Schizosaccharomyces pombe: one gene and its partner. Changing the gene in region 1 together with any one later gene gives a genetic interaction. Each region holds a gene or a part of one and is shown on either strand. Other genes may lie near its edges. The genes, in order: php4 and fxn1.

Region 1 (4,253 bases):
AGATGAAAAAAGACACAAGTAAGCCTACTGCAAGCACTAAGGAAGTTGTAGTGGAAAAAAAACCCGACGAGTCACGAAAGCAAGCCGCTCGCACGCTTGAGACCGTATCAGAAGAACAAATGGGATCATCCAATGCTAAATCCAAGGTACTAACATCTGAGCCAAAGGACTCTACCTCTGTTGAAGCCGAAAAAACCGAAACTGATGAGCCTGCTGTTGGTAAAGGAGCATCCGATGTGTCTGATACAGCTGAAATTTCTGAGAAAACTGAAGCCAAGAATGCTGATTCGGAAGCCAATTTAGAAGAGAAATCTGACGTTGGGGAAGAAAAGGAGAGTAAGGACGAAAATAACAAAGCTAGTCTTCATAAGGATGTTGAGGAGAAAGATACAAAGATAACAAATGAAGACACTGGTAAAACGGAGACCGATGTCAAAGCCAAGGAGACTGATAGTATAGAGGCCAATGACAAGGATGAAAAGACCGATAGCAAAGAAACTGAGGACAAGGTCGAAGAAACTGAAAGTAAAGAGGCCGATGTCAAGGCTAAGGAGACTGATAGTATAGAGGTCGATGACAAGGAGGAAAAGACCGATAGCAAAGAAACTGCGGACAAAGTCGAACAGACTGACAGTAAGGACACTAACGAGAAGCCTGCGAAGGATGATAATAAAGAGGCAAATGAAAAGGCTGAAAAAGTTGACAGCAAAGATGTTAAGGAAAAGATCGAGGAGGCTGCTGATCTACAAAATTCGGGAAAAGAGACTTAAGGGAAAGAACAACAAGGCACATCATGATAGGTTCAAGAGTTGTAATCAGCTAATGGTACTATATATGCCTTGAGTATTCAGGGTACGAGTAGCTTGAAGATTTAAATTTTGCTATTTTCGGTGTTCCTCAGCTTTACAGTAAATGTTTTAGCGCTGTTTCGATTTTTCTTATAAGTAATGTTTTTTCGAGCTCTTTTGTTTCATATTTTTATAATTGAATTATTAATAATCAATTAAATTTTTCACGACAATCGCAATCCCGTTGATGAATTTGCAAAGTAACTTTAATTTAAGATTGTGCTTGAAGTTTTATCGAAACCATTTGGATAAACTGAGTAGCTAAGTATCCATACATTCACTCCATCCTTGCGTGCATAGCAACCTTTATTCTTTTTACCACTACTGTACATGAGACATATGATGCTTACAAAAAAATGATATTCATTGAGAAGGCACGAAACAACGTGAATTATTAAAACAACGTATTTTAACTACAACAATAACTGAATACAACATAAATCAAACTAAAAAATGATATAAAATATAAAAACTGTACGTAGCATTCGGTCATCACGAGCCATGGCACGAAGCAACGACTTCACGATGGTTTTAAGCTATGCTGTCGGTCTCCCCGACATAATCTATACCGATTCCATGAAGAGGAAAAAGCTGCAACCATTAATACGGTTCTATATTATAACCGCGTTAGAAGAGAGCAGACTTTTTGACATCAGTAATTCATTATTTTGTGAGATGAAGCTTTGTTTTAACTCACTCACATTTCTTATATACTAGGAGTCAAAAAACAGTCACATGTGTTAGTGCACTTTCGTTTCATCTCATTATATCAAAAATATAAACAAATGTTAAATAATCTTCAAAGGACGGTATGACATGAGAAAAGCAGTGAGTCAGAACATTAATTTAACTCCAAAAAAGTAACATGGATAAGCATTACTATGATAGTTGGTGTGCCGAATGATTGTAGTATTACATAGCCAGAGCCCAGAGTTTATTAGGTCGATCGGTTTTAATCAGATGATGTCCACCATACCCGCGTTTTTTAATTGGTTCTGTAACTGAAATGATGGGTATTGAGAATGTATGTCAACAGCGCCTCTAAGCCGACCTGTTCACTAATCCGTTTTTTCCCGAAAATTGAGTCTTTAAAGATATAACGAGGTGTTGCATACCGGGTTAACAGTACAATCATCGAACCACACGGCACTTAGATCAGATATAATTTAATCGTATCTCTTTATCAGATTAAAACAAACCACCAACGACAAACGTTTGAAAAAGTGAGATTTTTAAGCTTGGTCAGTAGAGGCATTGGAGTATTGGAAAATAAAGATTTATATATTTTGCTAAAAGTGTAGTTCTGTACTTGATATCTCCTATCCCCCCAACTTTTTTTTTGCTCATGGAATCGTCTAAAAGTCCATCGGAAGTGGAAAAATCATCTTCTGCTTCTCCAGCACCTCAAAAGCCGATGATTCGCGTCTCTAAACAATGGGTTGTTCCTCCTCGTCCCAAACCAGGAAGGAAACCTGCGTTAGATGCTCTGGGAAGAAGAAAGGCACCTATTAAACCAAGACCTGGGCCGACTTCAGCTTTGTCGGTCGAGGAAGCCAAATTCCGTGTTCGTGAAAAACAATATCAGGATACGATCGGAAAGTTACAGAAGGAGAACAACGAGCTGCTTGAGCAGTTGGAGATGCTGCAGGCTCAGTTGAAGAATTCTACTTTGGATAGCCCCAAGGAAGTCGAAGTAAACTCTGAAGTTGTCAAGCCAGATTCTGCGACTACTGAGAATGAAAACCGTTATGTAAATCAGTACAATTATCCGGTCGAGCCGCCCTGTGCTAAGAATGCCGTTTATACAGAGATTCCCATTGAGCTAGATCCTCATGCCTTCTTGGGTGATTCGGCCAAGAGAATTCGTGTGGATAGTGACAGTAAAGATGCAAAGTCCGTTCCATCCGAAAATGGAAGAATTCGTGTATCTATGTCTCCCCAAAACGAAATTAATTTTACACCTGAAAACCCAGCAGTAATGGAGAAGATACGTAAACGTGGTGTTTGCAATAGTGTAGAAGGATGTTTGTACTCTGGAAGCCCTAAATCTGTTAAACGTGTCCGTGAATCCGAGGAAACCAAGGTTTATGCTCAACTACTTATTGACTTACACAAGTCCTCGAAGTCTGCTCCGATGTTAAAGGCAGGTCCTTCAATCGCCTTCAAACTTCCTACCATGGAACCAAATTTTAACGATGTTCGTCCCGTCACTTCCATATCCTCTTCTTCCTAAGTTTCCCAAAAGTTTTTGTCATCTCTCATCTCCTCTTGTTATTGCATCTCAGCAGCGACTTTTCTGTTTGTAAGTGATCTCCATTACCTTTTTCCATGGTACGGAATTTTTATTTTCGGACTTAATTATCTTGCTTCATACTATTTTATTCGTTGTGCATTTTCGTTCTTTTTGGATTTCTTTCTGTTAATACTAACGTTCACTACTGGTATTTGAACCAATACATTCAGAAATATTACAACATTTTATTTTTCGTGTTCTTGGTATTTGTTTTAAGAGTGTGTTTTTTTTTTACTCACTAGACTGGCTGTACGTCGTAAAGTATGTTTCCTTGACATATTCTAGTCTAGATCGCTTTGTTCATTACATTGCTTCCTTTTCTGTTATATATGTTAATTTCACTATATGTTTTGTTTTTATATATTTTCTGATTTGTATAGAAAAGAATAAATCTTTGTTATATTTTTACTCAAAATGTTCATAGCAAACATTTGACTTTACAAACTGCTAAGCAGTGTTTTTAATAAATTTAATGCTAAAGCCTTCACTGTGTTTATTATGGCTTATGTTTGAAGCTTCGTATTTCCAAATTTAAAAAGTGAATAATCTAACAATGTTAATATGCTAGTCAATTTTTTTTAACAGTGTGGTGTACCACTAGAATTTCTTCGTTTTGCAATTGCCCTGGTTGAAAGAAAACTTGCTAGAGCACCGAAGTTCTTGTGTACGGTAATCTTTTGGTGAGACCAATCCACTTTCGCATTCAAGTAGAAAGAGTTGTAGTGTCCTAAGGATCTTATATGTCTTTCTTTCAGCGTCATAATCAACTCATGGTTTTTTCAATTCAATTCAATCATATAAAATAGGTAAATTGCTAAAATTGATTAATTTCATTTTGTAAATTTGAAGAGGATATAAAACAGTGTGCGCTATTTCCCCTAATGATCATTTAATAAGTAGTTACAATTTTATATGAAATCCAAAATTACATATCGTCAATTACGATTAAAAATCGTTCTTTGTGATGTGCTTACAATTGAGCTTTTATTCATAACTTTTTTTCAAAACAAGTATTATGCATGTTAACTGTAATTGCATCAAAAACTATATTGTGCTGCCAATTTTAACCAAAATCCTATATGACTATCCTGGATGCATGATTTTTTTCGTAG
Region 2 (4,258 bases), on another chromosome or scaffold:
GTAATATTAAAGCTGCAGACAACGTTTTACACTCTAAAGCGTCTGCCTTTGAAAGTAAGTATATTGAGCGCTGCAAGTCAGACTAACTAATTTATTTTTGTAGAAGTCAACGTTGTGGACAAAGAGTCAATAGGCAACTTACAGCACCATTTGGACACTGTATTACCTAAAAAGAAATTCCAGTTTCTTCGTGATCCGAAGACTAATGACTATAAATGGGATGAATACTTGTCAAAAATCTTGCCAGTTGATAAATTTAATTTTGGCCTTTTAAGTAAGTTTCGTCCTCCTTCCGAAGATGAACAATTACAAAAAGTCGCAAATTCTATCGGTGCTGAATTTGTTGGTTCCACTAGTTCTTTGACTGGCTTAATGTCTCAATTACACTTCTTTATAAGTAAATGGAAATTTCCGAATTTTTCAGATCTGTCAAAAGGATTCTACATTAGTCCAAATGAACGTAACTTTACACGATTATGCCGATCGGCTAGTAGTGTACACATAAGTTATCAAAACGGGCTTTATTGTATAGACAAAGACAAGAGCTTGACCAAAGAACCTTCTGTCAACATCATATTGATGAACGTTGGGAAATCGTTGGAGACTTTTTTTACTGTTGATAAAGACCAGTTCTTGTTATACAAGAAACCTCCCTCTTCAAACGGTGTACTGAAGCCTTTAAAGGATGTCTTTCAGTATGGTCGATGTTCTTCGCTTTTGGTTAGATCTCAACTGGATTGTTACGATAAGAAAATTCCTGAATCTGGCGTCTTTGATTTGAAGACGAGAGCTGTATTTGGGGTTCGTATGAATCAGACACAGCCGGAATTGTTCAAGAGTTATAAACTTACGCATTATTATGGAAACCGAATCTCGTTCGAGCGAGAGTACTTTGATTTAATTAGGTCCGCTTTTATGAAGTATAGTCTGCAAGCCAGACTTGGTTACATGCAAGGAGTTTTCGTTGCATATCATAACACAAGCGATATTTTTGGTTTTCAGTATATACCGCTTGTGGCGATGGACCGAGCAATTCATGGAAGCAGTGAAATAGGCGAAGCGGAATTTAATTTAAATCTTCAATTGTTGGAAAAAATTCTGCAATATGCAACTTCAATTTTCCCTAAACGTTCATTTCGAGTTATGCTTTCTACTACTGAAGACGTACCTAACCCCCCTTTAAAAGTGTACTTAGAAGTAGCAGATGATAAAGAAAACAGGGGGTTTGATTTACTGGATGGTCAGAAAAATCTGGAAGCCAAAACTGTGTCACCTTCCAATTTTTGTGCATTAGAAGTTTGTGCCCTACAATTTGTGAATGGTGTTCACAAGTCTGTTGTCAAACATCTTGATGAAAAGGAAACATGGTCTATTAAATATCACTTTCGAAAACCTCGTGATCAGGATAATTTATTAAGAAATTACATACGGCTGAGAGATGACATAAAAAGACGAGAAAGCAAAATCTCAAATCCACCTGAAAGTTTGTTACACGACTATTACGCTTGTTCCGAACAATATTATAAAAGGAATTGACGATGGTCAAATTATTGAGAAATGATTGTTTTTAACTTAAGTTGATGTGTTACATTTAATGATATAGTTAACTTTATTATTTATTTAGCTTTGTTTAGCTTAAATGGACAACTTTTTGTTAGTGGATTAATTAATTTATTTTCCATTTTCTACTAATTGCAACTCAATTAAGATCATTACCCTTTTATGGATGAGTGTTGAAGCGATGTACCTTAAAGTACAATTGTTCAAACCGTTTAGATATAAATACTTTATTCGAAAAGGACTAAGTCGTTCTGTACAGCATATTTCCCAAAACCCAGAATTCCTTCTTTATGTAAATTCACTTCTTGAGTTTGCGACCGTAATTTGATCCAAGTGCGAACACACGAATTATCCGCTAACTACTCATTGAAGAGTAATTTTGTAATATTTGCAATTAAGAGAATTATTGACATATAATTTTATCGAAAAATATCATTTATTTTCTTTCTTTGTACCTAGCAATTAAGCCTACACCGACAAGAGAGATTGTGAAAGAGCCGTGATATGAAATATGCAGTCTTTGCGAGCAGCCTTTCGCAGACGAACCCCAATTTTTTTGAAGCCTTATGAATTCTCGACTAATGTTTTTGGGCTACGCTGTAGGTATTATTCACAAGTACGGCATAATGGAGCTTTGACGGATCTTGAGTATCATCGAGTTGCAGATGACACCCTTGATGTCTTAAATGATACATTTGAGGATTTATTAGAAGAAGTAGGAAAAAAAGATTATGATATTCAATATGCTGTATGTCAACAGAGTTGCCCAAACATTACAATTAGTCTAGCTGAGTTTGTGTTGAAACGATTCTAACACTAGATTTGCAGAATGGAGTAATTACTCTTATGCTTGGTGAAAAGGGGACTTATGTAATAAATAAGCAGCCTCCTGCTCATCAAATTTGGCTTTCATCCCCAGTAAGGTAGGTACAGTCAGCTATTGCCAAACATGTTTCCTATAGTATCGAGTGCTTAAAGGAAATTTTTAGTCTTAGTATAATTATGACCTTAAGTCCCATTATATTAGACTAGCATCCAAGTTTAGTCTTGTTAGAATCGGTACTAACCTAAAACCAGTGGTCCCAAACATTATGAATATTCTCTCAAATCAAAAACTTGGTGTTCAACCCGTGATGAAGGGACTCTACTAGGAATCTTATCGAGCGAATTCAGTAAATGGTTTTCGCGACCCATTGAGTTCAAAAAGTCCGAAGATTTTTAGAGGTGACCAATATGAAACTTACGATGAGCTTGTCTTAAAAGTTGAACAACAAAATCCCAAATTAAACAAAAAATTACAATTTATTTTATAAAAGTAATTTTACTTACTTCATTAGAAGAGTCTTTGTAAATCTCAGAATCTTAAAAATTTAAAAGTATAGCTCATCACAATGATGATGGTTTGCTCTAAAGGTTTGTGAGCAATCTATTTTGAAATATACTTAAGCTATTAATAAAAGAGATTAGTTACATTTCCATAGCTTCTCTTTTTCTTTCAATCTTCTATCTTAAATCACGCGTTTGTGAAAGAACGCATTTTATTGGAGTTATATAAAATAGTAGCAGGAGCATCAGCGCTAAATCTCTTTACTTCTTGGCCACAGTAACGGTCAAAGGCAACTCCAAGGGAAAATATGTTTCAAGTTTTGCTTGATGAAACATAGTTATATAATATCTAGTTAAATGAGGAAGCTCCTTGCGTGTTTTTTCATCAATAATGGAATTGAAGAATATACGAAGTAAACTTCCAAAAAATAAATCGGCGAGGGTGAAGCGATCCCCTACAAGATATGTACGATCCTTAACAAGTTCGTTGGGAATCTTCAAGCTATCGATTGCTCTGGTGGCAGATTCCTTGAAAGGCTTCTCCTCGTAAGGGATGTTACCACGGAACATACCAACCCAAGGGCGGACATTTTGAGGCGTTACGATGTCAAAGTTAATGAAGCACATCCACTTTAACATCTCAGCTTCTTCAACCTCATTGACAGGACCAAGTCCTTCCTTGTCATTGTGCTTTCCCTTTTCATAGAAATATTTAACAATGGCAATAACTTCAGATAATTCAAAGCCATCAGCACCAATGAAGACAGGGAGCTAGTAATTAATTAGTCAATATTACCCTAAAAAGTTATGCGTAAAATAAGTACGGTGAACGAATATTAGCATGTCACATTTCAAATCAAATGTCGAATTTTAATAATTTGTAAACAGTGTTTTGGCATTTATATGAAGTAAGCCACAATTGGAAACAGACTTGCAAAACGTTATAAAACCCTCCACTTATTAAACCACGGTAAAATCCTACAGATTCCAATACACGACATCCGACTTATATTGCCAAAAATTTTTTTAAATTAAATTTATAATTACATACCTTTTGGAGAGGAAACTTTGCAGCCAAATCTGCAGAGAATTTATGAGGATAAGTCTCAACAAGATCAACTTGGAGATCAAGGAGTTTAGCCAACTCCAAAAGGCAAACAGTTCTCGTATTAGTTTTGAAAGAATATAATGTGCCCAAAAACATGATGATATATTTCGAAAATGAATTGAGGTTGGTTTGTGGAGAGTGAGTCGCTGGCCTGAAAACACATATAGCAACAATATAAATGAGATGAAAGAAGAGAATTCTAGGTTTGTAAAAAATGGACTTTTTACAACAATAAATTAACATCTACAGAAAAATAAATCAATT

What was found.
Region 2: of php4 (region 1) and fxn1, a mutation in one rescues a mutant of the other (synthetic rescue), as found in Schizosaccharomyces pombe (one study listed by BioGRID).

Annotation. Positions count from the first base shown.
Region 1 is NC_003423.3:1,914,678-1,918,930, reverse strand, and holds php4 (CCAAT-binding factor complex repressor Php4), read left to right. Parts: upstream 1-2,038; 5' UTR 2,039-2,193; coding exon 2,194-3,081; 3' UTR 3,082-3,556; downstream 3,557-4,253. Other genes in the region: SPOM_SPBC16E9.02C (CUE domain protein ), read left to right, coding at 1-770. UniProt on the Schizosaccharomyces pombe protein: Component of the transcription regulatory CCAAT-binding complex. Required for the reprogramming of the cell for iron use. Down-regulates pcl1, sdh4, and isa1 underlow-iron conditions.
Region 2 is NC_003421.2:594,892-599,149, reverse strand, and holds fxn1 (frataxin), read left to right. Parts: upstream 1-1,891; 5' UTR 1,892-2,071; coding exon 2,072-2,308; exon of another isoform or gene 2,309-2,388; coding exon 2,389-2,483; exon of another isoform or gene 2,484-2,637; coding exon 2,638-2,782; 3' UTR 2,783-3,147; coding exon of another isoform or gene 3,148-3,657; 3' UTR 3,658-3,699; downstream 3,700-4,258. Other genes in the region: RNA metabolism pathway protein Pet127, read left to right, coding at 1-54, 104-1,536; SPOM_SPCC1183.02 (glutathione S-transferase), read right to left, coding at 3,148-3,657, 3,938-4,090.